4 linked regions of the Saccharomyces cerevisiae S288C genome follow. The protein of the gene in region 3 interacts with the protein of the main gene of each other region in a biochemical or structural test. Each region holds a gene or a part of one and is shown on either strand. Other genes may lie near its edges.

Region 1 (4,778 bases), on a different chromosome or scaffold from region 3:
AGCGAGTTGATTGACTGCAAGTGTAATTAAATAGGTGGAAATTGCATGGTGCATATGCCAATGGCTAAGAAAAAATTACTCTTACAAAGATTATTTTGTCAATTTCTCGAAGAAAACAATGCTACATTTTGAAATAGGATTTTTTAAATCGTGACATGTGCTTTAATAGAAACGTCACTTCAGCTCTGTCATTACATAAGATTTAACATGAGCAAAAGGGCTATTTTGGATACGGTATGTCATTCCTTTCCCCTATTAAATATGAAGAACATATATTCTCAAGTTGATAGAAAATGCAGGAACAATACACAACTATTTACACATTATGCTTTCTCGATTCTCTGAAAATGAACTCCAGTATGGCAATTTGAGCGCAGCTCATTCCGATGATTAATAATATGCCGTAAATAGAAAACATTACAATTCTATGCTCTGTTGAACAAACGGTGTGATGATTTCTGGTGTTTCTGCTTTTATAGTACTGTATATTACGTTCCAAAACGTGGAGCTGCCTTTCTATGGTGTCTATAGAATTTTCCACACTGTCTTGCAAGGGATCGGTTTTAGAGTCTCTCAGGTTTCTCTGCGCCTTTCTCGCCTTGCGTCTTTCATTTCGAATATCATCTTGGCGTTCACAATTGTACTTGAAGTCCAGATCAACAATCTTGTCGTGTGCTTTACCACCATAAAAGCAGATAGCATATTCTCCCTTATGTTGGCCTATAAATGACCATTCACCTTGACGTTCACCAGATCTCTCGATTATTGGCTTGTTTTTGTCATCAGGAGCAAATATTTCGTAGTTAACATCAAAGTCATTGCTCTCTCCTTGCTGTACTGCAAAATAATATGAGATTGTACAGTCAATTTCCGGAGTTAGCGTATATAAGCACTCCTTTCGACCTTTATTCAGTTCAAATGTCAACGGTGATGCCTCAGCAAAAAATTGTGCTAAAAAAAAAAACTGGAAGAAAAGTACACATAAATTGGACATGACGGAGTTTTTTAGTCAGTTCACAGTGTCCCTTCAAGTACGGTAACTATCAAGAGCCTTACCAGTTTCTGTCAAGATATTGTCCCCCCAAATTCTTTCATTGAGGAGAGGATTATGAAGAACGCGTTCTGTTTTAAAGAGAGAAAAATTCAGGTCAGGACGCGTTGGTCTCACCTTTGTTGACATAATGACCATGACAGTGTAGGAAGTCTAAGTAGTATGTGGAAACCTACGCGATCATACTGATACGTTCGTAAACTTTATCAACGAACGACGCTTTTTTTTTAAACCTCTATATAAGCATGTTTTTAGCTTGGGAAATTAAGGTGTAGCCCTGGTTTTGAAGATAATTAAGAATCTAATGGGGCAATGCTTGTGTAGATGACATTTTATAGAGTAAAATTACTTCCCGTTTAGCTCGATAAACGCCTTAGGCCTACATAAATCTTAAACATTTGTCCCCGGTCAGCTTTTAAATTATGTCTTCTTTGCCCTGGGGCGTCTTCTTGAACGGCATCAATTTAGTGAGTAGAAGAGCACTTCACATTTCCGCCTAAAATCAATGCAAGAACCATTAACAAAAAAAACCGCTCAGCAGGCGTAACGGGAAGTAACAGACTACCTTAAATTTTCAATAACAATTGTGCTATTATCTAATTTTCTTAGGAAAGAGGCAGTTTCGAAGTAGAACAATCATAATGACAAGCAAAACGAAGAATATCGATGATATACCTCCAGAAATCAAAGAAGAGATGATACAGCTCTATCATGATCTACCGGGTATAGAAAATGAATATAAACTCATAGACAAGATCGGTGAGGGAACATTTTCGTCAGTGTATAAAGCCAAAGATATCACTGGGAAAATAACAAAAAAATTTGCATCACATTTTTGGAATTATGGTTCGAACTATGTTGCTTTGAAGAAAATATACGTTACCTCGTCACCGCAAAGAATTTATAATGAGCTCAACCTGCTGTACATAATGACGGGATCTTCGAGAGTAGCCCCTCTATGTGATGCAAAAAGGGTGCGAGATCAAGTCATTGCTGTTTTACCGTACTATCCCCACGAGGAGTTCCGAACTTTCTACAGGGATCTACCAATCAAGGGAATCAAGAAGTACATTTGGGAGCTACTAAGAGCATTGAAGTTTGTTCATTCGAAGGGAATTATTCATAGAGACATCAAACCGACAAATTTTTTATTTAATTTGGAATTGGGGCGTGGAGTGCTTGTTGATTTTGGTCTAGCCGAGGCTCAAATGGATTATAAAAGCATGATATCTAGTCAAAACGATTACGACAATTATGCAAATACAAACCATGATGGTGGATATTCAATGAGGAATCACGAACAATTTTGTCCATGCATTATGCGTAATCAATATTCTCCTAACTCACATAACCAAACACCTCCTATGGTCACCATACAAAATGGCAAGGTCGTCCACTTAAACAATGTAAATGGGGTGGATCTGACAAAGGGTTATCCTAAAAATGAAACGCGTAGAATTAAAAGGGCTAATAGAGCAGGGACTCGTGGATTTCGGGCACCAGAAGTGTTAATGAAGTGTGGGGCTCAAAGCACAAAGATTGATATATGGTCCGTAGGTGTTATTCTTTTAAGTCTTTTGGGCAGAAGATTTCCAATGTTCCAAAGTTTAGATGATGCGGATTCTTTGCTAGAGTTATGTACTATTTTTGGTTGGAAAGAATTAAGAAAATGCGCAGCGTTGCATGGATTGGGTTTCGAAGCTAGTGGGCTCATTTGGGATAAACCAAACGGATATTCTAATGGATTGAAGGAATTTGTTTATGATTTGCTTAATAAAGAATGTACCATAGGTACGTTCCCTGAGTACAGTGTTGCTTTTGAAACATTCGGATTTCTACAACAAGAATTACATGACAGGATGTCCATTGAACCTCAATTACCTGACCCCAAGACAAATATGGATGCTGTTGATGCCTATGAGTTGAAAAAGTATCAAGAAGAAATTTGGTCCGATCATTATTGGTGCTTCCAGGTTTTGGAACAATGCTTCGAAATGGATCCTCAAAAGCGTAGTTCAGCAGAAGATTTACTGAAAACCCCGTTTTTCAATGAATTGAATGAAAACACATATTTACTGGATGGCGAGAGTACTGACGAAGATGACGTTGTCAGCTCAAGCGAGGCAGATTTGCTCGATAAGGATGTTCTCCTAATATCTGAATAGCAAAGTGATAAATTACTGCTAGTCTGAAATAATTTCCTTTTCTTTGGAAAGAGAATTTTAAAAGTACTTACATATTTGCATAGTGAAAGATTTAAATAAAAATTTCTTAAAGTGAAACGGTTTAGCATAATTGGTGGCATGCGCTTAAGATAGTGCCAAATACCAAAAGGCACAGGTGCAGACGATACTTAAACAATAGTGCTACTACGCCACTTCGTGAAAGCTAATATCTCTTTACCTTGCATTTGGGCATGTTGCAAACAGGAGGATCAAAATACAAATGGAATCAAGAATGCTCTTCTGGTATGATACTTTTTGTTTTTCTTTTGAGCCCATGCGTACATTTGAGCTGTTGAAACAGTCAAAAATAAAACGGCAAATAAATTGAACTTGAACACAAAAGTAAACCAAATCCAAGACCAAACTTCAAAAGTATAGTTGGGAGCAACAAAAAGATTGAAAATACCTTGATTCAATGGGACACGGATCTTAGCGTTACCATGCTTCTTTTGATAGTCACCCCATAGGCGCAATTTAATGTGGCAATAAAAGTTCCATAGTTCTGAAAGCACGAAAAGACCAATTAATGTACTCAAGTCATCCAATTTCAAATATGAATAGTATTTGAATAACTTAGCATTCCCAAAGGGGAAGCCGTAGCCAAAGTAACCGAATGAAATGAGACCGCTTAGAACCCAGTAATGGAAACAATTTTTGAACAGGTTGAAAATTGGCATAGTAGCTAAAGAGAATTGGTGAACAAATAAGGTTTCAAATAATCTCTTTCCATAATGTCCTAAAATTAAAAAATATGCAACCCTGTTTAAAAATGGATTATAGTCGGAGCTAGCACTGTGCCATCTATCAACAACTGTGGGAATGGTAGATAGATAATAAAAAAGGGAGTGAACCAAGACTGGACCCAAATACTCACAAAAGAAGACTAATCTCCATGAAATTTGGGGACCCAAATCTTTGATGAAGAATTCCATTGAGTCATCAGCCTCTTCTTGAAAAAACGATTCTGAAATAACCGGAACTTGTTTAGATTCCTTTTTGTAGGTTAATCTTATCCTGTACTTGCTGATATTGTGGTTATTAGCAGAGATTTTTTTCAAAACATCATCTAAAGTAGGCTTTTTGGATAAGTCAATTTCAGTGTCCCTTAACCCTTTAGAGCGGCTTTTTATGGTGATAGGCATTTTCAAATTAAATTCAAAATATGTATCTCTCTCAAATAGCTCAATTGGTTTCTAGATAGCTAAATAGAATATAATCTTACTGTCCTCCGTTCTGTAAAATTCACGCTCTTAGTCCCTTTTCATAATTCCTTAACTTTTTGCGTACAAAATGATATGTTTATTATATTTTTCTTTTTTTTTTTTCAAATTTTTTCTTTTTCTTGAAAAATTTTTCAAATTGGAAAGCTCATCTCTCTTGAATGTATAATACTTTCTTCCTCTAACTTTCAAAAAGTTTTACATAGCCAAGAAGTTTTCCTTACATCGGTATACTACTGTTATATAAGTTATTCTTCGAGAAACAATTAGATATCATTCATC
Region 2 (8,715 bases), 180 kb from region 3:
CCAGTGATATCATCTCTACCCACCTTGCCCAACATTCTTCCATTACCATCGAATTTAAAAACATTCTTTTTGTAGTCAGTAGTAATCACATTCAGTTCATTAAAGGTTTCAGATTGAAAATTCCCCAACGAAGAGACAACATTTTCTCCCTTGGCATCAAAAACTTCCATCTGAGATAATGGTTCACGGTTAGGTAATAAATCTATCTGAGCGAACGGTTTTCTGCCATGTTGTGTGCTGTATTTGGTGAGGTGGGACCAACGGGTTATGGCTGCAAACTGGTAGTTCAGCTTACCCTTTTCAGTTTTACCAGGGGAGGGCTCCAAAAATCTTAGGGCCATGGGCCATACTGGGACTCTCATATCCAACCTGTCGTTTTTAACATTCTTGGCTTCCCAAATTTGCTTTAAAGATTGGAAACTCGAATCTATTTCCACTAATTTTATTAAATTCTCCTCCCCTCCGTATGCAAATATATATTTATCAGTATCGGTATCTTCTAGATCATATAACTGAAGAAATTCTACTGGTGCTTTCAGTCCAAGGGATGCTAGTTTTATTAACTTTTTATCTTCTCCTTTTTTTATAATATGTAATAATCCCGATTTGGTAGCAGCTACGAATGTGTTATTCGACGAATCCTTTTTTATGGGACATAATGTGACAAAACCATCCACCAACTTGGTTCTTTTAACAGATTTACTTGAAAGTGATTCCAATTTGGCATCATCAAAAAGGTCTGAAACTGAGCTGGTTATCTCAAACTCGGATATGTCAAATTTGGGTAGATCATCGGAAAGGCTCTTTTCATTTTTGCTTTCTCCTTTGGGATCGACCTGGAGAGCTTCATTTTCTTTAAGGTGTTTCGAAATCTTTACAAGTTCGACGACCCCTGAATTCCTTGCTAAGATGGCTTCATCTTCGGATATCACCCACATCCTGTCAACGTAAGCTTTCAATCCTTCGGCTAGATGAGGTGCCACATGAAAAGGCTGCAGTGCTGATTGTACGGAAGTGTCAGTCCCGATGTTACACAAAACTTCCTTTATGGATCCACTATCCACACAGCTGACTAGTAACCTCATTTTACGATCGAAGCTGGGCCTATTTATGGTTAAATTTTCTCTGTATTATGTTCATTGAAGTGAGGCTTCGAGATTGGGCATCGCTTTACAAAATTTTTCAGCTTTATTTTATTACCAAAAAAATACCCGGAAACCATCAATAACAAACACCGATTCAAGTAGCAGCAAAAGTAGTTCATGAGCGAAAACAATAGATTGGCTTTAAAAAGGAAGCAAAGGACGCCTCAGTGTAGTTGATAGCCTGTTAAAATGTCTACACAGCAGCAATCTTACACAATTTGGTCTCCACAAGATACTGTTAAAGATGTCGCTGAGTCGCTTGGGTTGGAAAATATCAACGATGACGTGTTGAAAGCACTTGCTATGGACGTTGAATACCGTATTCTAGAGATTATTGAACAGGCAGTCAAGTTTAAAAGACACTCTAAAAGAGATGTTTTAACTACAGACGATGTATCGAAGGCCCTGCGTGTTCTGAATGTGGAACCTTTATATGGATATTATGATGGCTCTGAAGTTAATAAAGCTGTATCATTTAGTAAGGTTAACACAAGTGGAGGACAGTCGGTTTACTACCTGGATGAGGAAGAAGTAGATTTTGATAGATTAATAAATGAGCCATTACCGCAAGTGCCTCGTCTACCAACTTTTACTACACATTGGCTAGCAGTTGAAGGGGTTCAACCTGCCATAATCCAAAATCCAAATTTGAATGATATAAGGGTATCCCAACCACCATTTATTAGAGGTGCTATTGTCACTGCTTTGAATGATAACAGCCTCCAAACACCTGTAACGTCGACGACAGCAAGTGCTTCTGTGACGGATACAGGCGCCTCTCAACACCTGTCTAATGTTAAACCAGGACAGAATACTGAAGTCAAACCTTTAGTGAAACACGTTTTATCCAAAGAATTACAGATTTATTTCAATAAGGTCATTTCAACCTTGACAGCGAAGAGTCAAGCTGATGAAGCTGCACAGCATATGAAACAAGCAGCTTTGACTTCACTACGAACTGATAGTGGCCTGCACCAACTGGTTCCATATTTTATTCAATTTATTGCCGAACAAATCACACAAAATCTTTCCGATTTACAATTGCTAACAACAATTTTGGAAATGATTTACTCTTTACTAAGCAATACTTCTATTTTCCTGGACCCTTATATTCATTCGTTAATGCCTTCCATTTTAACCTTGCTATTAGCAAAAAAACTTGGTGGATCACCAAAAGATGATTCGCCGCAAGAAATTCATGAATTTTTAGAAAGAACGAATGCACTACGTGATTTTGCCGCATCTTTGTTGGACTATGTATTGAAAAAATTTCCTCAAGCATACAAATCCCTGAAGCCAAGAGTAACTAGGACACTGCTAAAGACATTTTTGGACATAAACCGTGTTTTTGGGACTTACTATGGGTGCTTAAAGGGTGTATCGGTACTAGAAGGTGAATCCATCAGATTCTTCTTAGGAAACCTAAATAATTGGGCGCGCTTGGTATTCAATGAAAGCGGAATAACTCTAGACAATATAGAGGAACATTTGAACGATGACTCCAATCCAACTAGGACCAAATTTACTAAAGAAGAAACTCAAATCTTGGTTGATACTGTAATTAGTGCATTGTTAGTTCTAAAAAAGGATTTACCAGATTTGTACGAGGGTAAAGGTGAAAAAGTTACGGATGAGGATAAGGAAAAATTGCTAGAGAGGTGTGGTGTCACTATTGGATTTCACATTTTGAAAAGAGACGACGCAAAAGAATTAATTAGTGCGATATTTTTTGGCGAATAGTGAGAATCGGTTTATACTAATAGTACAACGGTAATGTTATATAACAGTTTTTACATACGCCATTGTATGTATATATATATATATGCATGATGAGTTATTTAATTGTATACTCAAAGGCCCCCGAAGTGCGAAATTGTTGTAGCTTAGTTTTATTTTATTCCCTTTTCGTCCAAGAAAAGCTACAAAGATGGAGTTGGGTCAACTACTTGCCAGCGAAGGTGGTCTCGCAGTTTCTTATTCTATGTGGATTCTGGAGCAAATAAACGTCTTCTTACTCTCCTTTTTGAGCTATTTTCCGGGGGCTTATTAGTGGGAGTAGAGGTAATATTGGAGGTATTTTTTCTGCCTTCATGCGTATCATCATCCTTGAAATTTAGCGGCGATTCAATGATGCTTTGAAGTTGCGCCTTTTTATTAGGTGTCACAGTTCTTTTTTTCACAGCAGGAGTGGCTTGAACTTGTACGTTTTCCTCAGAGTCTACACGTTCATGTAGGCGTATCGTTTCATTGATATCTTTACGTTTCCCAACTCTGCGAAAAGAGTTATTCATAGTTTTGTATGCATTAATAGTTGAGTGCGAGAAAGGCGTTTTGAGTGTGATAGTTGATGAATTCGGTACTCTTGTTGTGCTTAAGTCAGAGACAGAAAACTGCCGTTTTTGTAAATGATTCATCGTTAGATCAGACTTCGTCCTTCCCAATTGTGAAGGGCGCTTTAAGCTTCTAGTTTCACTTTCGAGAAATTCATTCAAGTTAGAGTTCGTTCTAGAATTCAAAAGTTCAGGGGTGGGCGAAGCTATAGATTTTCTGCTGAACAAATTAGCGTCCACCCTTCTCAATGCGGGTGAAGATGGGACGGAATTAATGATTGAAGAGCGAGAGGCACGTTGACTCGTGGATAACCTGTTATACGTTTCTACAGTATTAGGTGACGATACATTTGTGCTATCGTTGACCTTTTTCAGGGCTCTCTTTGGTCTCATGCTTGGTCCCTTGAGCTTTTGAATTATAAATTCAACGGCGTGTGGTACCTTTTTGTTGAAATATGGAATAAGAACATAATTTATGAACCCAACCAATGAGGCTTCTTTGCTTTTGTCTAGGATATTTTTTTTATGCTCTTGTATTGTTCCATTTGATGCTTCTATGGCATCTGGGTTGGGCGTTTCACTTGATAGTAGAATGTCCAAGATGCATGCTCTATCTAAGTACAAGTCTAACTGTTCACAATAATCCAAAGATGTTGTTATTCTCTCGATTCCTTTGTCTTTTTCGCTGGTTTTTTTCTTCGATCTTCGACGAACTAATCCCTTTTTTGTCAAATTAAGTGATCTTTTCTTCAATTTTAATTTATACTTTTTCTCAAAATCTCTAAAATTCCAATCTAAATCGTTCAATCCTATTATCTCTAATAGCAATAATATTTGTAGCTTTATTTCGCGGGATTTTAATACAACACATAAATCAGCAATGGTTGAGCTGTTTTTGTTTTCATCTTGGATAACAAATTTTGTGAGACAGTTCTTCCTTTTTTCATCTGCTATGGGACTAGAAAAGGGCTCTAATAAAAGCCTGTTATCATGTCTATCTTTGAATTGTACAATTGAGAGAAGAAATTTTTGCAGCATGGCTTGATAGGCTATTTTGTAACTGTCACTTCCGTACTTGGTTCGGCAGGTATTTTTGAGCCTTACTAAATTTGACTTGACGAAATATGCGAGAGGCGTATGTATGGAAAAAAGAGCATCATAATACTTACTTTCTATGTACTCTTTAGGGTCTGAATAGTAGTCATTAATTTTTGATTCGCCTTTCATATCTGGGGGATTCATATCCAGTTTAAGGTCTTTGTCCTTCTCAAGCTTACACGAGCCCTTGGGTTCTTCTGACCATAAATGAAGAAGCTCTTTAAATTTCAATTCGTCCCATGTTTTTAACGTTTCACGCTTAGCTCTTTCTCTTTCAACTGTCGTTACAACTTCCGTACGCCTTTCTGGTAAGCTGTAACCATTGAAATAATTGTACGGCCACTTAACCCAAAATCCTGGCCCATATTCCTCTAGTAGAAAATACTCTTTTCTTGATTTCATGCAGATGTGTTTCAATTGACGTCGATTCTTCTGTTGCAGTAATTGGAGAATGTTACTGGGCACGTCCTCGGATTTAATAATAAGTGGATGATCTAAGCTCAAGTCAAGGCCTTTTGTTGCTTCTTTTACCGATGCTATGACTTCCCATGTTTCCATTATGAGAGGTCAGATCGTTCCTACCTATACGATCTTAACCCTTCAGCAGTTATGAATGAGGCTTCTGCCTGTTTTAACAGTGCCCATCACTTTTTTTTATTTTTCTTAAATGGACCATGTTGTACACCAAGATAGCCGATATTTCAAGGTCGCGTATAATATAACATTTTGCCTAGGATTTTTGTCACCTAGAAATATATATACAGGGAAATCTAAGACATCGAATTATGTGATGAGTAAATAATTTAAAATTTGTAAACTTTGTAAATTCTTTATTAGTAAAATATTATATACCTAATAGTGAGGGACATTTAAGCAGATGAAGAGCATGTTTATTACGCTAAAGATACCTTCACCTAAGACCAACCCCGAACTGAATACAATCATTTTTGTTTTCGCATTTAAGTCACCCCTATGATTCTTCAACCAAAAATGCGAAGCCCACCCGCCGATGAATCTTGCAATTGTAAAACTGGGAGAATTAAATATACCAACACCGACTGCTACACCAGACGGAATATATAATATCCACCCGTATCCGTAATCTCTATAAGTGTTTCTGATTAATGATAAAACGGCAAATATGACTCCGAGAATCATGGAGCACTCCAAGGCCTTATCAGGGAGCCCTTTACCAGTTACTAGTCTTGCACAATCTATCCACACTACTGCTGTCGGTATCCTGAATTGCTCACTCGGAATTGAATAAACTTTATTGTAGCACAAATACATGAAGCTAGACAAAATAATTGACCAACAGGCCCCTATCAATTGGGCACAGAACTGAGCTCTTGGGGAGGCGCCGAGGAGGTGCCCCGTTTTCAAATCCTGCATTAAATCGCCCGCCTGTTGGGCAGAGGCTTCTGCAATACCTCCCGATACCACGTTCATTAACACTGATCCAGGTCTATCCCTTGGTATGATAAAGGCAAAAATCAATTGAGAGATCTTACCAATGCCGCTCACAGGATTCAGATCGGTCTCTCCAAGTGCTCGAATACCGAGAATAGATAGAAACAACGCAAGTATCAAAGCAGTGATAATAGCATATAGGGGAATTACTTGTATCCCAAACAAATATATTATGGAAACAATGCATATTATCGAGGAGACTAGACATCCACTGATAACGGTGGTATAGCGAACCAAATGCTTCGAATCTACTTCTATTTCGTTATCTCTACTCACTAATCTTACGGTGTCCTGCCTTCCATCAACATATGTATTTCTTCTGCTGCTATTAATGGCGCGTTCCTCCTCCAGTAACATAGATTGAAATGTATCATCGATTATGTTGTTCAGTAAAGCAGCTTTGTCATCTATAAGAATAAATTTCACAATGGACTTCACTGTCACAACAATAAAAGCGACTACACTGTCAGCAACCATTATTGAAAGCGACGACCAAAGAATCCATCCTTGCACTCCCTCCTCCCAGTCGTGGACATCAGCATCTGGTGGTACCCATCTTTTGTATCTCGCCAATGGTGCTAACACACCCCAGCCTAAGAAGCACCCGATAAGCATATACGATACTGTTGGAAGACCCATTATTATCCCTTGGCCTATATACGCAGGCGACGGCTGAAAATTCCAGAGATAATTGTTCGAGAGGTATTTTCCGAAGACTGGAATAGACCGTATTACCGGTACAAAATATGACACCATGGTGTAAAGCGAAGAAACAACAAAAGTTTTCAATAAAATAATAATATTCGCTCTGTAGTTCTCAGAGCCAGTAGAAAGGATAGAACTTCCATCTTGGCTAGTTGCCGTATAATCACCAAGTTCGCTATGAGAAGAGTTCATTAAATAATCCGCCTCCTCTGGATCTCTGTTGGGTTGTAGCACTTCAGGGCATTCATTCAATCTCCTCTGCCTCATTTCCAATAACTCTGACTTAGAAACCTCTTGTAAAATCTCAGTTCCATTTAGCACTGAAATTAAAGTGGCCGTGGCGCTACCACTGGGGAAGGGAAGTTTCTCTCTAACAATTACTTGCTTTCTTAGAGGAACTGCAAAAAAAATACCGAAGAATGCTAGGGCTGTGGACCATATTAACAATTCTCTAAAAGTGAAGGACTGTCCTTGTTCCCTTAATCCACCACTTTCGTCGTTAGTAAGGAACTTCTCGATGGCAGGTATGACGCCGACAAACCCAAAGGCTAATGGGCCTGTTCCGACAGCTACTGCCATACTTTGTACGTATACATTTTCAACGTCACTGAAAGGCCTGTCGTTCGGAAATATTAATGGCCAGATATTTTTAAAGAAAGCACAAGCTAACAATGCCGATGGCAGGGACATCATGGAAACCCAACCGGTTTGCAGGCCAAATTGAAAATTTGATGTTAGCACCAGAGACCCTATAGCGATACCTGCTATGGTTGCTCGGAGTGTTATCTGCTTCAAAGCAGGTTTATTATCCCATGGTACACGCTGTACTTCTTGACTTGGAGTAGATTGAGGCATTTCAAAGTATTTACAGTACCGATTTAGAATCTTTAACGGTTAGTCCTCTATACTGTGACTCTTTTTCTTCCTATCTTGGTGCGAAAATAAAAAAAATGATGCCTTGAGATAGATCTCACGAAAAATACCTTCTACGGCGTTAAATTTACAGCTTTTCTTTAGCTGCCTGTACCTTTTTGATGAACTAATTTATTTTGGTATCAACAGACAATACTACAAAAGGCTTTGCATTATCTTCCTTCACCCTTATATGCAGCATTCCCCCCTCCCAGAGATCGCATCAGTATCATTACTAATCGATTTTTCACTTCGCTTTATAACCGAATTTCCGCCGAATTATACCCAAAATAAGCAAGATGAAAATATATTGGTCAGATGAAGTATGCATGACTGATTAATCATGACTTTATTAGTTGCATTTATTTATAGTATGTACACAAAAATCTCATCGGCTCGTTTCAGTTGCTACCTAGAAGGATATATTTGAGAATATCGCTTAACGTCAAGACACCAACCAACCGTCCGACGTCATCAACTACAAAGAATCTATGCACCCTTGCTTTTCTGATGTTATCCATAATAGTAGATAATTTATCATTCTTAGTGCATGTATAAACACCCTCAAAATCATCACTTCTCCTCATAAGGGCTTCTCCGACGCTCAATGACAGGTCGTTGTAGATGCCTCCTTTTATCAAGCCTAGGACATCGTATGCTTCATATACGTTGATTAAGTAGCCGTTTTCGTCAATAATAGGGACGGAAGAAACCCGACCTTGGGTAAGCATCTGAATGACGTCTATGACCGGAGTGGTCATTTGACAGCTTTTCATGTTATCTTGCGTAATAATGTTCAAGTCCCCAATTGGAATCTTTAGAAAATGTGTTTCCCTGCAATTTAAAGCAACGAACTTCAGAATTCTATATTGCGTAAGAACACTAACGACAATTTCTCTATGTGTCTCTTCATCTTGATCGATCAGTGGTATTCTACCACTTCTTGATTCTAACATCTTAAGACACGCCTCAAATAAGGGTCTAGAAGGATGAATTGAAGCTGTATCTAGTTGATCAACACCGAGAGCACGCTCTATATCTTTTAATCCATCTAA
Region 3 (9,828 bases):
GTTCAACGGGATGGTTAGACCACCATGTACAAATATATTAGACCTTGTTAGCGTCACCGCTGAACCTGTTCTATAGTCCAGCGTTAACCTTTTCCTGGCGCATTCATCAAACTCGTTGGAATCGGAAGTCAGTGGTAATGGCGGAAGCTTCAAAGGGTAGCAGAAGCAAGTGGATGGTTGTAATAAAGGCATACTACGCTAAAGCAGGTGCAGATTGTTACTTGTCCTTTGGTTTGCACGCGCGCTATGTTATCTTATATATATAGTAAAACAGAAAAGTCTCTAAAGCGCCTTCACCATGTAATGTTTGCAAGTGTGGCTATAGGCACAGGAAGGAGAAGAGTTCTCAAACAATTGTGGTAAACGGACGCTGTGAACTTGAAATAGACTTTGCCAGACTCTGCGCTACCAATTCATCAGAAAGCCTAATCTTGCTTTGAACTTCTCTTACACTCCACGGAGTCTGCCTTAGCCACACGCCAGCCCCTGTGAGCGTCCTCTTTTTTTTTTTTTTCAGAACTTTCTGCCGTGGCTCGCGAGATAGGCAATTCTATGTCCATGATATTGGGTTTTATACATATGTAACTAGTGTTATAAAATAGTTGACAACCAGGCCATGCCAAAAAGACAGAGTGCCAGAGGGTATATCTCGATAATGGTCTTGCTCTTGGTAACCCACGAAACGGCGGCCACAGACCACATCAGGCACAGCGCCATGACCACCAGTTTCACGAGCGACAGGACCCTCACAATCCAGCGATTTTGCTTTCCAATATGGTAGGCCAATGGAAGTAGTATCTGCGAGACTAAGGCATTCAGCACTTGTGGGAATAAGCAATACCCGGAAATGGAGATGTACGAAATCAGCGACACCCTCTGGTGTGGCTTGGTGAGTCTCAGATGCAATGCCATCACCAGCAAAATGAACCAACTAGACACAAATAGGCTCGAGAACAGCGACCGCGCATGCGATACAAATAGAGAATACAATATGATAAACGCAAGGGGCGCCCACAGGTCGCAATTGGCTGAAATGTCGTTATCAGCCGCCCCTATCCCGTCATCAGAGGGGCTAAAGAATGAGGGGAAATGCGGGTATACCACTTGTTTCAGTCTGGAATTAATCTCCACCACATCTCGCTTTAGTGTTTGCAGCACAGTCTCGTCGAGCGTCCCTCTGCTGCCTGAATTCTGCATAGTTCCGCCTATGTTGTCAGCAACACCCCCGGAAGCAGCCAAAGGTGCATCTGGTTCTATGAAGTCGGGCTCAATCGTAGTGTCTTCTCTTCCGTATGACATTTTGCCTGCCCTCTTGTGACATATCTTTCTACAAATATTGCTAAAACAGCTTCATTTGCTATTGTAAAAGGGGACGAAAAATCACTGTGAGAAAATCATCACTCCGGGTAATCCAATTTTCATGAAAAAAGACGCGAGGAAAGTCAGAAAAGTCGTGCAAAACAGCCTGAGAGATCGGGTCGCTTAAACATTTTGACACGAAACTTATAATGAAATAAAAAGCTATACTTGGTGAAACTGCAATCTTAATAGTATCCCTCCGCACAAAAATACACACGCATAAGGATGGCCTCATTTGCTACTAAGTTTGTCATTGCTTGCTTCCTGTTCTTCTCGGCGTCCGCCCATAATGTCCTTCTTCCAGCTTATGGCCGTAGATGCTTCTTCGAAGACTTGAGTAAGGGTGACGAGCTCTCCATTTCGTTCCAGTTCGGTGATAGAAACCCTCAATCCAGTAGCCAGCTGACTGGTGACTTTATCATCTACGGGCCGGAAAGACATGAAGTTTTGAAAACGGTTAGGGACACGTCGCACGGTGAAATCACATTGTCTGCTCCATACAAGGGACATTTCCAATACTGTTTCTTGAACGAGAACACCGGTATCGAGACAAAAGACGTGACTTTCAACATTCATGGGGTGGTATATGTGGATTTGGACGACCCAAACACCAATACATTGGATAGTGCTGTCAGAAAGTTGTCCAAATTAACCAGGGAAGTCAAGGACGAACAAAGTTATATTGTTATTAGAGAAAGGACGCATAGAAATACTGCAGAGTCGACCAACGATCGTGTTAAATGGTGGTCCATCTTCCAATTGGGCGTCGTTATTGCAAACTCTCTTTTCCAGATATACTACTTGAGAAGATTCTTTGAGGTCACATCTCTAGTCTAAGTAAAGCAGGAAAATGTAGTTCATATCTATTTACTTTTGCCTACATACGATTACATACACGATTGGATAACCTGAAGTCGCGAATAATTCTCGGTTTCATACTTTTTACCTTGATCCTTCCACTGTTTTTCCCTGTGCCAATTACATGTAAATAAATATATACATATATATGGTCCAGGCGCGCCATAAAACAAATACAGGTTGTAGCGAATCAAAAAATGGGAAATACATACGAAAAACTTGAAAGAAACAAGTACCACAGGACATGCTGTGGTCCGTTTTTCCCCAGAGCACTTTTATGTGGGACTCTTAGAAGGGAAATAGCTCTGTTCATATAGAACAAAAAAAGAATAGCCCTGTAGGGGGCTCGAACCCCTAACCTTATGATTAAGAGTCATACGCGCTACCGATTGCGCCAACAAGGCTAATTCGTTGGAAAACGTCCCCATTTCAGGGAAACATAGCTCACGATGTTAATAACTGATTTGTAGCCGAGCCACATTGTATCAACGCGTGATTAACACATGTTTGGAATATACTGTTGGAACAAGAATCAACTAGTGCTCATATTAGCAATATATTACTATATACGGTGTAAGAAGATGTCCACTATAGTCAGCCATATTCTTGATCTTACGAAAGGGAACTGTGATGTAAAATTTGTGACACTGTGACACCTTCTAGTGAAATATAGGGCATTACCAAAGTCACTAATGAGTAAAAATACCAATTACTGTCCGTAGTTCGTCAGATTAGAATCCACTATATTTTCTTTGATTGGGAGTTAACGCTGCATACTTGTCTTGGGTACTGCGTTAACCATAAATCACATAAGCGTCATTCATTATCGTACCTCTGGGTAAGTGTTTTTCAGGAGTTTTTATATATAATATGCTGGCCCCCAAGGCGGATGAGGACTGTATACGGTTTTGACGTTAAAGTGTTATATGAATCGCAGTCGCATACACTAGTGGACCCCTAGTTCCGCGATACGTAGTTGACCCTCAGTACAGAGATTCCCACGATTAACGGGTGTACTGCTCCTGACTAATGTAATTTTGAGTTCACCTGTTGATGTGGTGCTGATACTGGCACCAGTACTAATGTTTGGAAGAACTCCGTAGCATTAAGTGGAGAGATTAATCCGATACTGAGCTGAATAGTTGGTTTCACTCCCGCAAAAAGATATCAATACAGTTTGCTAACAACTTGGGAAACCCTGATGAGAAGAATTAGCGGTCATCCTGAGAAATAGGTGACCATTTAAATGGTCACTTGAATTCGATTTTCCAGTAAGGGAAGTGTCATTCGGAATCCAGAATATACCAGAAATAAGCAATTTTGCATGATAGTGCTGTTATCCTTTCTTGTGTTTTATACGATATCATACATCACCCCATTACGTTATTTATCTTGCATTTCAGTTTTTACTGGGTTTACCCTTTTCGCGATTTATATCATATTATCACCGCACATAATATACTAGTAACATTACTATTCGTCGACAAACAATAGCTTGTTTTGATTCCAGTTCTCATAACATTTGTGTACCTATTCTTTTGCCGTTCCTTCGCTATTTGGTATTGTCATCTAAGTTCGTCTATTAAATTTCCTTTTTAGGAAAAGCGCCTAATAGGCCTTTCTTGAAGCTTTTTTTTTTTCTTTCTTTAATCTACAATAATAACAAAATATTTCATTCTTAAGTGATTTACAGCGAGTATCTTACACTTCGCCACCGGTGGATAGGAAAAATAGACTTACCAAAGGTTAAAACTGGTTTTTTTCAATGTCATCCCCTTTTCCAGCTGACACACCAAGCAGTAATAGACCTTCCAACTCCTCTCCGCCACCATCGTCGATAGGTGCTGGCTTCGGAAGCAGTAGCGGACTCGATTCGCAAATAGGCTCTAGGTTACATTTCCCAAGTTCTTCTCAACCGCATGTCAGTAATTCACAAACAGGCCCTTTTGTTAACGATTCCACTCAGTTTAGTTCTCAAAGGTTGCAAACCGATGGTTCCGCGACTAATGATATGGAGGGAAATGAACCTGCCAGAAGCTTCAAAAGTAGAGCTTTGAATCACGTTAAGAAAGTTGATGACGTTACTGGTGAAAAAGTCCGTGAAGCGTTCGAGCAGTTTTTGGAAGACTTTTCCGTTCAATCCACTGATACTGGTGAAGTTGAAAAAGTTTATAGAGCTCAAATTGAATTTATGAAAATATATGACCTAAACACCATTTATATAGATTATCAGCATTTATCCATGAGAGAAAATGGTGCTCTAGCTATGGCTATCTCAGAACAATATTACAGATTTTTGCCTTTTTTACAAAAGGGTTTAAGAAGAGTAGTAAGAAAGTATGCACCTGAATTGTTAAACACAAGTGACTCATTGAAGAGATCCGAAGGTGACGAAGGTCAAGCGGATGAAGATGAGCAACAGGACGATGATATGAATGGGTCGAGTCTACCAAGAGATTCTGGATCATCAGCCGCACCAGGGAATGGGACATCTGCCATGGCAACGAGGTCAATAACAACTTCTACGTCACCTGAACAGACGGAACGTGTTTTTCAAATCAGTTTCTTCAATCTACCAACAGTTCACAGAATTCGTGATATAAGATCTGAAAAGATTGGTTCACTATTGAGTATATCAGGGACAGTGACAAGAACATCTGAGGTCCGTCCAGAATTATACAAGGCAAGCTTTACGTGTGATATGTGCCGTGCTATCGTAGATAACGTAGAACAGTCCTTCAAGTACACTGAACCGACATTTTGCCCGAACCCATCATGCGAAAATAGAGCCTTTTGGACATTAAATGTTACAAGATCCAGGTTTCTTGATTGGCAAAAAGTCAGAATTCAAGAAAATGCTAACGAAATACCTACAGGCTCCATGCCGCGTACGCTGGACGTCATTCTTCGAGGTGATAGTGTCGAAAGAGCCAAGCCAGGTGACCGTTGCAAATTTACGGGTGTGGAAATTGTAGTACCTGATGTTACACAATTGGGGCTACCAGGTGTGAAGCCAAGTTCAACATTAGATACTAGAGGTATTTCGAAGACTACTGAAGGTTTGAATAGTGGTGTTACTGGTTTACGCTCTCTTGGTGTTCGTGATTTGACATACAAGATTAGCTTTCTGGCATGCCATGTTATCAGTATTGGATCAAACATTGGTGCAAGTAGCCCTGATGCAAATTCTAACAACCGAGAAACTGAACTACAGATGGCTGCTAATTTACAAGCTAATAATGTATACCAAGATAATGAAAGAGATCAAGAAGTATTCTTGAACAGTTTGAGTTCAGATGAAATAAATGAGCTGAAGGAAATGGTAAAGGATGAACATATTTATGATAAATTGGTCAGATCTATTGCTCCAGCTGTGTTTGGCCATGAAGCCGTAAAGAAGGGTATCTTGCTTCAGATGCTCGGTGGTGTTCATAAGAGTACTGTAGAAGGTATTAAGTTAAGAGGAGATATCAACATCTGTGTTGTTGGTGATCCCTCTACTTCTAAGTCTCAATTTTTAAAATACGTAGTGGGATTTGCACCAAGATCAGTTTACACTTCCGGTAAGGCCTCGTCGGCTGCTGGTTTAACAGCTGCGGTTGTGAGAGATGAGGAAGGAGGTGATTATACAATTGAAGCAGGTGCTTTAATGCTTGCTGATAACGGTATTTGTTGTATCGATGAATTTGATAAAATGGATATTTCAGATCAAGTTGCCATTCATGAAGCTATGGAACAACAGACCATCTCTATTGCTAAAGCTGGTATTCACGCTACTTTAAATGCAAGAACATCAATTCTAGCGGCTGCCAACCCGGTAGGTGGAAGATACAATAGGAAACTATCACTGAGGGGTAATTTAAATATGACCGCACCGATCATGTCCAGATTTGATTTATTTTTTGTTATTCTTGATGACTGTAACGAAAAAATTGATACCGAATTGGCATCTCATATCGTTGACTTACACATGAAAAGAGACGAAGCCATTGAGCCGCCATTTAGTGCAGAACAACTACGTCGTTATATCAAATATGCACGTACTTTTAAACCAATATTAACGAAAGAAGCCCGTTCCTATTTAGTCGAGAAGTATAAGGAACTGAGAAAGGATGATGCCCAGGGATTTAGTAGATCGAGTTATAGAATCACAGTTAGGCAACTTGAAAGTATGATTAGATTATCAGAAGCTATTGCGAGGGCTAATTGTGTCGATGAAATTACTCCATCATTCATTGCAGAAGCTTACGATCTTTTAAGGCAAAGTATTATTCGTGTTGATGTGGATGATGTGGAAATGGATGAAGAATTTGATAACATAGAGAGTCAAAGTCACGCCGCTTCTGGAAACAATGATGACAATGATGATGGGACTGGGTCAGGTGTAATTACGAGTGAGCCACCAGCAGATATAGAAGAAGGACAAAGCGAAGCTACAGCTCGTCCAGGTACAAGCGAGAAGAAGAAAACAACGGTGACGTATGATAAATATGTGTCCATGATGAACATGATCGTTAGAAAGATTGCTGAAGTAGATAGGGAGGGTGCAGAAGAACTAACAGCTGTGGATATAGTTGATTGGTATTTATTACAGAAGGAAAATGATTTGGGTTCGTTAGCAGAATATTGGGAAGAGAGAAGATTAGCGTTCAAAGTCATAAAAAGGTTGGTCAAAGATAGGATTTTAATGGAGATTCATGGTACCAGACACAATTTAAGAGATCTTGAGAATGAGGAAAATGAAAATAATAAAACTGTTTATGTTATTCATCCAAACTGTGAGGTTTTGGATCAATTGGAACCACAGGATTCCAGCTAATTCAGTGCACTCTTGCGGATTTTCATATTTCGTTTCAAGTATCGTTCACGTTGTAAATTCCTATCGTGTGCATTTCTCTTTGTGGGAGAAAAATATCTTACATAACTTGGCTCTCAAATCAAGTTATAATTGTTGTATAAAGTTGTACTCTTAATGAAAAAACAAAATATTATATTTTGGCTTCCACTTGCAGTCTTTTACAAAAAGAAAAAATACTTCGAAATTTAAGCAATACAAAAATACGTACGTCCTTTTTTCACCTTATATATATTCTTCCAACGTATTTACCTCTCTATTTGGAAATACCAAATTCTTCGTATAAAGTATCACCTAATCTCTTCAGACCTTCAGTCAGTTTCTCAGGAGAGACAGCTGCATAGGTACCTCTGAAGAAAATTATGTTTGGATTACTGACTTCTTTAGATTCAGCGGGTTGAGGAGGTTCCGTCTCACCCTCACTCTTGAACCAAGAACCGGGAACCACTAAAACACCACGTTCAACCACTTTGTGGTAAAGACTCTGTTCTAGCTGGTAAGGGTCTGAGTTGTATTTTGTTTTAAACTCAGGGTGGACAGATGCGTCAATGTTCACGGTGAAAAACATACCTGCAATTGGAGGATTGATCACGAAAGCATCAGATTGTGGTAGATACTTGTAAAGGGCATCGATGGCACAGTCACGTTTCAAAGTGTATTCATGACGCAGGCCAAGCAACCAGTCCAAGTAACCCTTTTGACCCCACCTGGATAGCGTAGCGTTGACCAAAACTTGTGTAAAACCTGCTGGGGCTTGAATCGTCATTTCATGCAAACTCAAGTAAGGCTTCAAGATTTTGGATGAACCAGTAATCCAACCCAATCTTGTCCCTGGGGCCAAAACTTTTGAAAAGGAATCCATTCTAATAACACGGCCTTCTGTATCCAAGGAAAGGAAAGTGTTTGCCAAGGACTTCAAAAATTCGTCATGGTCCTGCTTTGGAGAACTTTGTGCCTTCTCTCTTTCCTTCAAGTCTTTGATGTAGGGATTCATTTGTAAGAAATAATAAGGTTCATCTTCCACAATTAGGAAGTCGTACTTTTGAGCGATCTTGTAAATTGCCTCCTTTCTATGGTCTGCAATGGAAGTACCAGTTGGATTTTGGCCCGTTGGAATAGTGTATAACAACTTTGGTTTAGGAGCACCAGGTGTCCAGTTTTCCATGACTTTAGCTAATTTTTCAGGAATGATACCATCAGCGTCAATTGGCACGGGGAAGGTAATGACACCTTGAGCCTCTGCAGAAGCCAATGAAGAGGAAAAAGAATGTGCCTCAACTAAGATGACATCACCTCGGTTACAAAAGACTCTTAAAGTAGATTCCCAGGCATTTGTGTTACCTGCAGTGGCTAAAACGTCCCAGTCCTTATACTTCAAATCGTGGATAATCTTGGTATGATCTCTAATGAAGTTTAATAGTTCAGGTTGACCAGCACTGAACCCGTATTGCAAAGCTCTTGACAAAGGAATATCGTTGGAAGGATTGGCACTTTTATCAGCGTAATCTTTGTTGACGGTGTATTTTATGCAATTCTGCTCGTCAATTGGAGCTCCAATACCCTGGGGAAAAGGAGGCTTGGGTGAATCTACAGATAGATTATCCCATGGGAAATAATCTTTTAATGGCAGGCCACCACCCAAAAAGATAATGTTAGGATCTTGGAAAAGATGGATGCAGGTTTTCAATGGGGATGGTTTACGAGCATTGGTTTCATCCGAAAACAAGTAAGAAAAGTCTTTTGATTCAGGTAAAGTCATGATAGTAACGATCGGTTGTCCTATTCAATGTCTGTATCAACTGCAGGGTTTAACTTAGTGGAATGGAAAAATAAGAAAAAGAAATAAGTTCTTAAAGATATAACCAAACCAAATATATAGTCTAGAGATGTGTATAGGAGGGTCTACAAGATAAGAAAAAAGATTGCGATACACATATCTTCAAATGAAATGCGCTTAATATTAGTCATAGATTGGACCTCGAGAAAGTGAAAAAGTGCAGAGTGAAAAATGTGATAAAAAAAGGAAAAAAAGACATCTAAGGTAACCCGGATGTTCTTCATTATTCCGGCGCAATTTAGTACTGTTCTTCTATCAATGGCAATTCAGAAGCCAGATTCTTGAATGAGGTGAAGGAGAACAATGGTTATAGGTTAATTAAGAGATTTTTGGATGGTGTATATGAGCCATGTTTAATCTTGGAAAAATAGTGAACCGGGAAAAAAATAAAGAAGAACTCCTCATAGGGGGCTCGAACCCCTGACATTTCGGTATCCTTGCTTAAGCAAATGCGCTTAAAAGCCGAACGCTCTACCAACTGAGCTAACAAGGATGAGTTCTTCGGATTTCTTCGATAATAGTTTTAGTTAAATATACATTATGTTCACATAATGCTATTATTTAATGCACATGTTAATGGACGGTAAACTACTTATCATTTATTGCAACAAATGAAAAGACACCACCCTAACAGCACGAAAAATGATGTTAATGTCTTGTATAGTATTGTCGGATAACTAACTCTCGTCTCAACAAAGCTTAAATAAGAGCTGAGAGATTGGTGAATTTTAAGATGATTGTAGGCATTTCATTGTTGATCAAGGCTACAATATTATGTATACAGAATATACTAAAAGTTCTCCTCGAGGGTAGAGGAATCCTCAAAGGGGAAGCGATATTTCTACATAATATTATTACGATTATTCCTCATTCCGTTTTATATGTTTCATTATCCTATTACATTATCAATCCTTGCACT
Region 4 (8,519 bases), on a different chromosome or scaffold from region 3:
GTGCTAGTTTGACACCGGAAAGATCGTTAGAAGAATCCCGTGAATTGTGGCATAAAAGTGAAATTTCGACCGCCGATTTAGTATCACGTCTTGGAGAACAATTAAGACTAATCTTGGAACCTACCTTGGCTACAAAGCTGAAGGGTGATTACAAAACAGGTAAGAGACTGAATATGAAACGGATCATTCCATATATTGCCTCACAATTCCGTAAAGATAAAATCTGGTTGAGAAGAACTAAACCAAGCAAACGTCAGTATCAAATAATGATTGCGCTTGATGATTCTAAGTCTATGAGCGAATCTAAATGCGTTAAACTCGCTTTTGATAGTTTATGCTTGGTCTCCAAGACGTTAACTCAGCTAGAGGCTGGAGGGTTATCTATTGTCAAATTCGGTGAAAATATTAAAGAAGTTCACTCATTTGACCAACAATTTAGTAACGAATCTGGCGCAAGAGCTTTTCAATGGTTTGGTTTCCAAGAAACTAAAACAGACGTTAAGAAACTTGTGGCTGAATCTACTAAAATTTTTGAACGTGCTCGCGCTATGGTACATAATGACCAATGGCAACTAGAAATTGTAATCTCTGATGGTATTTGCGAAGACCATGAAACAATACAAAAACTGGTCCGCCGTGCTAGAGAAAACAAAATTATGCTGGTTTTTGTCATCATAGATGGTATTACTTCTAATGAATCCATCTTAGACATGAGCCAAGTGAACTACATTCCAGATCAGTATGGCAATCCGCAATTAAAGATTACCAAATACTTGGACACATTTCCTTTTGAATTTTATGTTGTTGTACACGATATAAGCGAACTACCCGAAATGCTTTCACTGATTTTGCGTCAATACTTTACAGACCTGGCATCCAGCTAAGTATATCGTGAAAACCAAGAAGAGGAGGTTTACTACACGAATCAAAGGAACAAAAAAATCATGGAACTGAAAAAAAAAAAAAAAAACTACTGTAAAAAACTACTGTAAACTATAAATTATTAATTAGACTGAACGTATACCTATATAAACCTGATATAAAAATGATTCAAGTTATTAGTCCTTTGCATTTTCTGTTAGCAATCCTTTGTCAATTAGCCCTAAGAAATATTATTCCCATATGGGTAACCAACTCTCTTTTTTTTTTTTTTTGAAGGGATCAATACTTCAGTCAGATATTTAAAGAGAAAAATTTTCTTCAAGATGCAAGTTTCCCATTCAGTTCTATAGGAAGTTAAAACAAAAGAGCTGTTTGAGAGCTCGTAGGCTTTGGTTGTTAAGAGAACGGACTAAATAACACCAGGAGGTGTGTCTAGACTTAGTTGAACGAGTTTTTTCTCGTGCTATTATATCTGTTCTTAATACTTCCACTTTATTTTAATGATGATAGCATGATTTATGTTGCTCGAAGTTAATCGATGTGAGCACAATGATTTCTCAAGACTACAACGGTATCTGAATTTTATTTCTTGTCAAAAATGTTTTATAGAAGCCACTCTTGCTATAGATTTATATTGCCACACATAACTTTTTCACGTAAATTTGAAAGAGCTATATTAGCTGGTGCTTTCACTAACATCTCTTTGCTCTAGTATTTCATTTCGGTGCATAAAACATTTGAACTTCCATCGAAATTCAATATGCTAAAACGTTTCATTGTAACACGACGCTGAAAAGACAATAAGTACGAAGGACTCAAGAAGGAGCATGTCTAAAGGGAGGGTCAATCAGAAGCGTTACAAGTATCCTCTTCCAATTCACCCCGTAGATGACCTTCCAGAGTTAATCCTTCATAATCCGTTATCTTGGCTATATTGGGCATACCGCTATTACAAGAGTACGAACGCACTGAACGATAAAGTACATGTAGATTTTATAGGAGATACCACTCTTCACATCACGGTTCAAGATGACAAGCAAATGCTATATCTTTGGAATAATGGATTTTTTGGCACTGGTCAATTTAGCAGGAGTGAGCCTACATGGAAAGCTAGAACAGAGGCCAGACTGGGTCTCAATGATACTCCCCTCCACAATCGGGGAGGAACAAAGAGTAATACTGAAACGGAGATGACTTTAGAGAAGGTCACACAACAGAGGAGATTACAAAGATTAGAGTTCAAGAAAGAACGTGCGAAGTTAGAAAGAGAATTACTAGAATTAAGAAAAAAAGGTGGTCATATCGATGAGGAAAACATCCTCCTTGAGAAACAACGAGAATCATTAAGAAAATTTAAACTAAAACAAACAGAAGACGTGGGCATCGTTGCACAACAGCAAGACATTTCCGAATCAAATTTAAGAGATGAAGACAACAATCTTCTTGATGAGAACGGTGATCTTTTGCCACTAGAGTCACTAGAACTAATGCCAGTGGAAGCTATGTTTTTAACTTTTGCACTTCCTGTTCTTGACATATCTCCCGCGTGCCTGGCAGGGAAACTGTTTCAATTCGATGCCAAATATAAAGATATTCACTCCTTTGTCAGATCATACGTTATATACCATCACTACAGATCACACGGTTGGTGCGTAAGATCTGGTATAAAATTCGGCTGCGATTATTTATTATATAAGAGAGGGCCACCATTTCAACACGCTGAATTTTGTGTTATGGGTCTTGACCACGACGTCTCTAAAGATTATACGTGGTATTCTAGCATAGCCCGTGTTGTGGGCGGCGCAAAGAAGACGTTTGTGTTATGCTACGTGGAGAGACTAATCTCGGAACAGGAGGCGATAGCACTATGGAAATCAAACAACTTTACTAAATTGTTCAATAGTTTTCAAGTTGGTGAAGTATTGTATAAGAGATGGGTTCCCGGAAGAAATAGAGACTAGAATATCAATGAGAAGATAAATCCTTCGTATGTATATATGTATGTGTATGTATTTTTTATACAGATTTCAATGGTTTTTGTAAGCATCTGATACCCATCCACAATCCCTAAACCCCTTGTTCTTTGCTTTGGGGCCCTTGACAGGGTCATCATATATTGCTCTAAACTTTTCATTGTGTGTGGCTGGTTTGGATATGCAAACAAATTTATTATCAGGAAGGACACATTTCAACTGAGATTTAGGGAAGGGACAAGGACAGTCTTTCTGCTGTGCAACGCACGTTAGGGTGTCCGGACACAAATACCCATCACAAGGGTTATTTAAAACTTGATCTTCATATGATTGTTGCTGTTGCTGTTGCTGTTGCTGATGATGACCGAAATTGAAGAAGGCATTCACTCCAGTGCTGCCAAAAATAAACAATGCAAAGATGAGAACGATACTCCAGCGACTTTGACTCATACTACAGTAAAATTTGGTCGTTTTTTGCCTGGCAAACCATGCCTATTTTTCGTCATTAAAGGTCTTCTGAGCTTTCATCAAAATTATCTCTATAATTATAAAGGACAGCTCAGAGCCACACCCAAACATCTGCAAAGGTAAAGGCCATCTTTCATCTCACATTGCCTAACAAGAAAGTCACATTGCAATTGTTTCGAGAAGAAAACATTAATTCAATTACGTGGTTCCCATGCGTCTGTGTTAAGCGTCAATTTATCATTTGACGAACTCGTTGCAACCACAAACAAAGCAAGGGCCGCATTTATCAAAGGAAAACCAACCAAAAGCATAAATAAACGAGATTTTTATTATGAAAAAGCCATGCGAATCCTACTAGAATAAATTCAAAGTGAAGACATTTAGTCAATTCGATCTTCTCTCTCTTGCTTTAACTAGTCGTAAAACCTAATAAGTTTCATTCACGACGCGTATTTTTTTTTCAACATATCATCTAACGCGTTTTAAGAAATTTCAGTAAATAATGAAGCTGTAGTAATGCCAACAATCCATTGTGGCTACTTTATACAACGCACTATAGAGCAATAAAAGTGTAGCAATAAACACTAGAGAGAAGGCACATAATAACAAGAATATACTCTCGCACATGTATTATGGAATCAGCCAGTTTAGCGAAGCCTACAACAAAATCTTAAGGAATTCATCGTCTCATTCATCATGTCAATTGGTCATTTTCGTTTCTTGTCTTAACATCGATGCGCTGTGTGCGACGAAGATGTTGTCACTATTATTCAAAAAACAATTGGTACAATCTCAAATAGTACCGATATTTGGGTACTCTGAATTACGACGCCACTATTCTCAATTGGATGACAATATAAATAGTCTGCTATTAGTAGGGTTTGGAGGCGTTATTGATCTGGAGGCTTTCTTAGAAATCGATCCCCAAGAGTATGTTATCGATACAGATGAAAAGTCGGGGGAACAAAGTTTCAGGAGAGACATCTACGTGTTGGATGCTCATAGACCGTGGAATCTCGACAATATATTTGGATCACAAATCATCCAATGTTTTGACGACGGTACGGTGGATGACACATTAGGCGAACAAAAAGAAGCATACTATAAATTGCTTGAACTGGACGAGGAGAGTGGTGACGATGAGCTCTCAGGTGACGAGAACGATAATAATGGGGGTGACGATGAGGCAACTGATGCCGATGAAGTCACAGACGAGGACGAAGAAGACGAAGATGAGACAATATCTAATAAAAGAGGTAATTCTTCAATAGGACCGAATGATCTCTCAAAAAGAAAGCAACGAAAGAAGCAAATCCATGAATATGAAGGTGTTTTGGAGGAATACTATTCTCAAGGCACAACAGTGGTTAACTCGATATCTGCACAAATCTATTCATTATTGTCTGCTATCGGAGAAACAAATCTTTCAAACCTGTGGTTGAATATACTTGGTACGACCTCGTTAGATATAGCATATGCTCAAGTTTACAATCGATTATACCCCTTATTGCAAGATGAAGTGAAGCGTCTCACACCAAGCAGTAGAAACTCAGTAAAGACCCCTGATACATTGACGTTAAACATCCAACCGGATTACTACCTTTTCTTACTGAGGCATTCTTCATTGTACGACAGTTTTTATTATTCTAACTATGTCAATGCCAAACTATCCCTATGGAATGAAAATGGGAAAAAGAGATTGCATAAGATGTTTGCTAGAATGGGTATACCATTAAGTACTGCACAAGAAACATGGTTATACATGGATCATTCTATTAAGAGAGAACTTGGGATAATATTTGACAAAAATTTGGATCGTTATGGGTTGCAAGATATAATTAGAGATGGGTTTGTTAGAACTCTTGGATATCGTGGGTCCATAAGTGCCAGTGAATTTGTCGAAGCACTAACAGCTCTTTTGGAAGTAGGTAATTCAACTGATAAGGATAGTGTGAAAATAAATAATGACAATAATGACGATACAGATGGAGAGGAAGAAGAAGATAACAGCGCTCAAAAATTGACGAATTTGAGAAAAAGATGGGTTTCGAATTTTTGGCTCAGTTGGGATGCTCTAGATGACAGAAAGGTGGAACTATTAAACCGTGGCATTCAACTAGCACAAGACTTACAGAGAGCAATTTTTAATACCGGGGTTGCTATATTGGAGAAGAAATTAATCAAGCATTTAAGAATTTATAGATTATGCGTCTTACAAGACGGACCCGATTTAGACTTGTACAGAAACCCATTGACGTTATTAAGATTAGGAAATTGGCTCATAGAATGCTGTGCGGAATCTGAAGACAAGCAATTGTTGCCCATGGTGCTTGCCAGCATAGATGAAAATACGGACACTTACTTGGTTGCTGGGTTAACACCTAGGTATCCTCGCGGACTAGACACGATACACACAAAAAAACCTATTTTGAATAATTTCAGCATGGCGTTTCAACAAATAACTGCAGAAACGGATGCTAAAGTGAGAATAGATAATTTTGAAAGTTCCATAATTGAAATACGTCGTGAAGATCTTTCACCATTCCTGGAGAAGCTGACCTTGAGTGGATTGTTATAATCAAATTTATATTATTTAGTCGTACATATATACCAGCATATGAATATAAAATCTAAGCTTTTTCAAGCTTTTAAGTCCAACTTTTCTATAATAATACCATATTTTGTGCGCGGCTCTTGACAAAACAAAAAAAAAAACCTAAATAAAAGGAAATTAAGAACAGGGAACTAGGTTTGGAAGGACAAATTCAGGAAGGAAAGAAATAGCTGTGACAAAGTAAGATGAACCAAAATGGTGATAAGAACGAAGGCAAGTTGTTTCAACTACCGTCATTGCCGCCCTGGAAAACACCAAGGTTCAACAAAGCCAACTTTAACAATTTTACCACACCGCTACGGAAAAGGTCGACAAGGGTAATAAATGATGATTCGATGCCCATAACAGGCGAAGTACTAGAGGAGAGGACTGCAGATGATCTCTATGGGATAAATATGGACGTAGACGAAGTCGACTATCTGAATACTTTGAGCCACATCGAGGAAGAAAAGCAATACGATTATTCACCGTTTTGTGAGCGCAATACGCTAAGGGAAAGTAGAATTGACAGTTTTTTGAAAGCCGAAAGGGCAGCACATTGTCTTGTGTTTCATAAGGTGGGCCATCTAGACGGCATAGACAGCTATCGACCCGATATTGACATCATGTGCGGCGAAGAGGCTAATAAATATGACAGTGCGAATCCGGAGGGCAATGGTTCAATGTTGTTAGAGAGTGTACCTGGATGCAACAAAGAAGACCTGGAGAGGTTATCAAGGCGAGAATTTGTAACAAATTCGAAACCTAATATGAGACGGTTGGATGACATAATAAATCATGAAACGAACGCCTTAAAAAGTTTCTGGAACGACTCAGGATTAGTCAATTCACTCCAAAGTCATCATTTGCATGAAGAGTACCTTCTTTTGCAAGAAGAATTAAAGAATGTGTACAAGATTAAATGCCATGACAGAGTGCCAATAGAAAGTCTACGCGATAAGTGCAGAAGACACTATAGCAACGAGGATAGTTCGTTTCTCTGACAGAGGCAATGCCTTTTTTGCTTCACGTGTATATATATCAGTTGATATGCGTTTTCTATACAGACATACATGTATATACACACATATATATATATACATATGTACGCAGAGATATATTAAATGGGGGTTCTAGTTTCAACAATTTGATCTTTCAGTTTCTCGTCCCATTCCAGTTTCTTCTTCTGTATATAAGCGAAGACATCAGACATTCCAGTAGGGTCTATTTCCTGCGTCTTGATATATGGCATACCATCCCTAGAGGTAGCAGAACCGTATTTTACGTCTTGTTTCTCAAAGTTTGGATTGGCCAATCTAGTTACGTATACTGGGGCATTGGCAGCTTTATAACCATCAATATTGTGCCATGGAGACCCCAACAGCCTGGCCAAATAGAACAAGCATAGCATGCCGAAATAGGTGAAAAAATTCAAATATTCGGAGAAGGAATGGCTTGTAAATATGCCCGGTTGAACTACATACTGATTTATGCCCAGCTTTTTCAAGTCTTTGTAGGTGGCCAAATGCAGTAAATCAACTAAACGCTTGGAGCCCTCATAAGAGGCATTTGTCTTTAGTAGTTCAATATCGTTCAACGAAAGATACTTAGGATCGGACATAATACTCGAAATCCAAACAATATAAGCCTTTCCCCTGGTCAATTGAGGCAGAATTTTACTGATAAAGTAGTACGGACCAAACACATTGGCCTGGAAAATAAGCCCCATGTCATCTTTAGACTTGACGCCCACCAGTTGTATCTTGTATGTCGGATTTGTCACTGCCTCCAATGGATTGGTGAAAACCTCCTTGACCGCTCCGATCCAATCTATACCGTCAAAGATACCTTGCGCAGCATTCACGAAAAGGTAGTTTATCGCCCTGTACTTTTTGTTGATGTCGTAATATGCGTTCAAGACACTCACCATGTTGGTGAAGTCCACCAACAGATAATCAAAGTCTATTTCCAAATCCTCTACACGGCCTGATTTGTTGTAAAAATCTTTAATCTGGTTAATCACCTCCTGCACTCGAGGAAGCGTTCTAGAAGTCACCACAATGGTCAATCTGACATTGGTGTCCTCAGTTTCAATCAGACGGAACACAATGTTCAGACCAAGATTACTATTAGTACCCGTTACGATAGCTACTTTCCTGTTCATCCTATCCTCCTACTTTTTCTCTTTGCTACTTTTTTTCGACACAGATCATGTGCTTGTTTCTCGTCCTATCTTTTAAATACCTGCTCAATTCAAGATGCCGTTCTTTCGTTAAACGACCATAAATAAAGGCCCACGTACTATCGGAGATAAAACAACGGGTGTGCGAAAAGTGCCATTTATCTGTTATAACTGCTATATGCGGATACATAAACAACAAACACTTATACAAAGTGTTCAATGAACCTACTCCATAGAGTCTTGGCCATTCTCCTACCTATATACTTGCCCAGCAGGGGCAGCAGGACCCAGTTGAGCAGCTTGTTCAACTGTTGCAGCGACTCTTCCCATTGACGCTGTGCATCTGCGAGCTCGTTGCTGAGTGACGTGTCCTCGTCGCTGAGGTAACCATCTTCTTCCAGGCCCTCCACGCTGTTGATTG

The links.
Region 1: of the proteins of MCM6 (region 3) and CDC7, one has a biochemical effect on the other in vitro, tested with the Saccharomyces cerevisiae proteins (7 studies listed by BioGRID).
Region 2: the proteins of MCM6 (region 3) and SLD3 form a complex in vitro, tested with the Saccharomyces cerevisiae proteins (4 studies listed by BioGRID, with this or other methods).
Region 4: the proteins of MCM6 (region 3) and CDC45 form a complex in vitro, tested with the Saccharomyces cerevisiae proteins (5 studies listed by BioGRID).

The regions. Positions count from the first base shown.
Region 1 is NC_001136.10:422,517-427,294, forward strand, and holds CDC7 (serine/threonine protein kinase CDC7), read left to right. Parts: upstream 1-1,692; coding exon 1,693-3,216; downstream 3,217-4,778. Other genes in the region: ERP3 (Erp3p), read right to left, coding at 317-994; trans-2-enoyl-CoA reductase (NADPH) TSC13, read right to left, coding at 3,486-4,418. UniProt on the Saccharomyces cerevisiae protein: Serine/threonine-protein kinase. Needed for the initiation of DNA synthesis during mitosis as well as for synaptonemal complex formation and commitment to recombination during meiosis. Required for HTA1-HTB1 locus transcription repression.
Region 2 is NC_001139.9:292,348-301,062, reverse strand, and holds SLD3 (Sld3p), read right to left. Parts: upstream 5,132-8,715; coding exon 3,125-5,131; downstream 1-3,124. Other genes in the region: ribosome biosynthesis protein NSA1, read right to left, coding at 1-1,085; TATA-binding protein-associated factor TAF6, read left to right, coding at 1,335-2,885; YGL114W (uncharacterized protein), read right to left, coding at 5,426-7,603; AMP-activated serine/threonine-protein kinase regulatory subunit SNF4, read right to left, coding at 8,062-8,715. UniProt on the Saccharomyces cerevisiae protein: Required for loading and maintenance of stable association of CDC45 with chromatin during initiation and elongation of DNA replication. Also involved in temporal regulation of origin firing. Required for the association of PSF1 with origins.
Region 3 is NC_001139.9:115,062-124,889, reverse strand, and holds MCM6 (MCM DNA helicase complex subunit MCM6), read left to right. Parts: upstream 1-3,982; coding exon 3,983-7,036; downstream 7,037-9,828. Other genes in the region: MDS3 (Mds3p), read right to left, coding at 1-192; YIP4 (Yip4p), read right to left, coding at 592-1,299; EMP24 (Emp24p), read left to right, coding at 1,585-2,196; ARO8 (bifunctional 2-aminoadipate transaminase/aromatic-amino-acid:2-oxoglutarate transaminase), read right to left, coding at 7,329-8,831. UniProt on the Saccharomyces cerevisiae protein: Acts as a component of the MCM2-7 complex (MCM complex) which is the putative replicative helicase essential for 'once per cell cycle' DNA replication initiation and elongation in eukaryotic cells.
Region 4 is NC_001144.5:341,371-349,889, reverse strand, and holds CDC45 (DNA replication initiation factor CDC45), read left to right. Parts: upstream 1-3,948; coding exon 3,949-5,901; downstream 5,902-8,519. Other genes in the region: REA1 (AAA family ATPase midasin), read left to right, coding at 1-884; tRNA splicing endonuclease subunit SEN2, read left to right, coding at 1,710-2,843; LCL2 (Lcl2p), read right to left, coding at 2,910-3,305; APC9 (anaphase promoting complex subunit 9), read left to right, coding at 6,123-6,920; ERG27 (3-keto-steroid reductase), read right to left, coding at 7,037-8,080; MIM2 (Mim2p), read right to left, coding at 8,302-8,519. UniProt on the Saccharomyces cerevisiae protein: Required for initiation of chromosomal DNA replication. Acts at the origin of replication. Also has a role in minichromosome maintenance.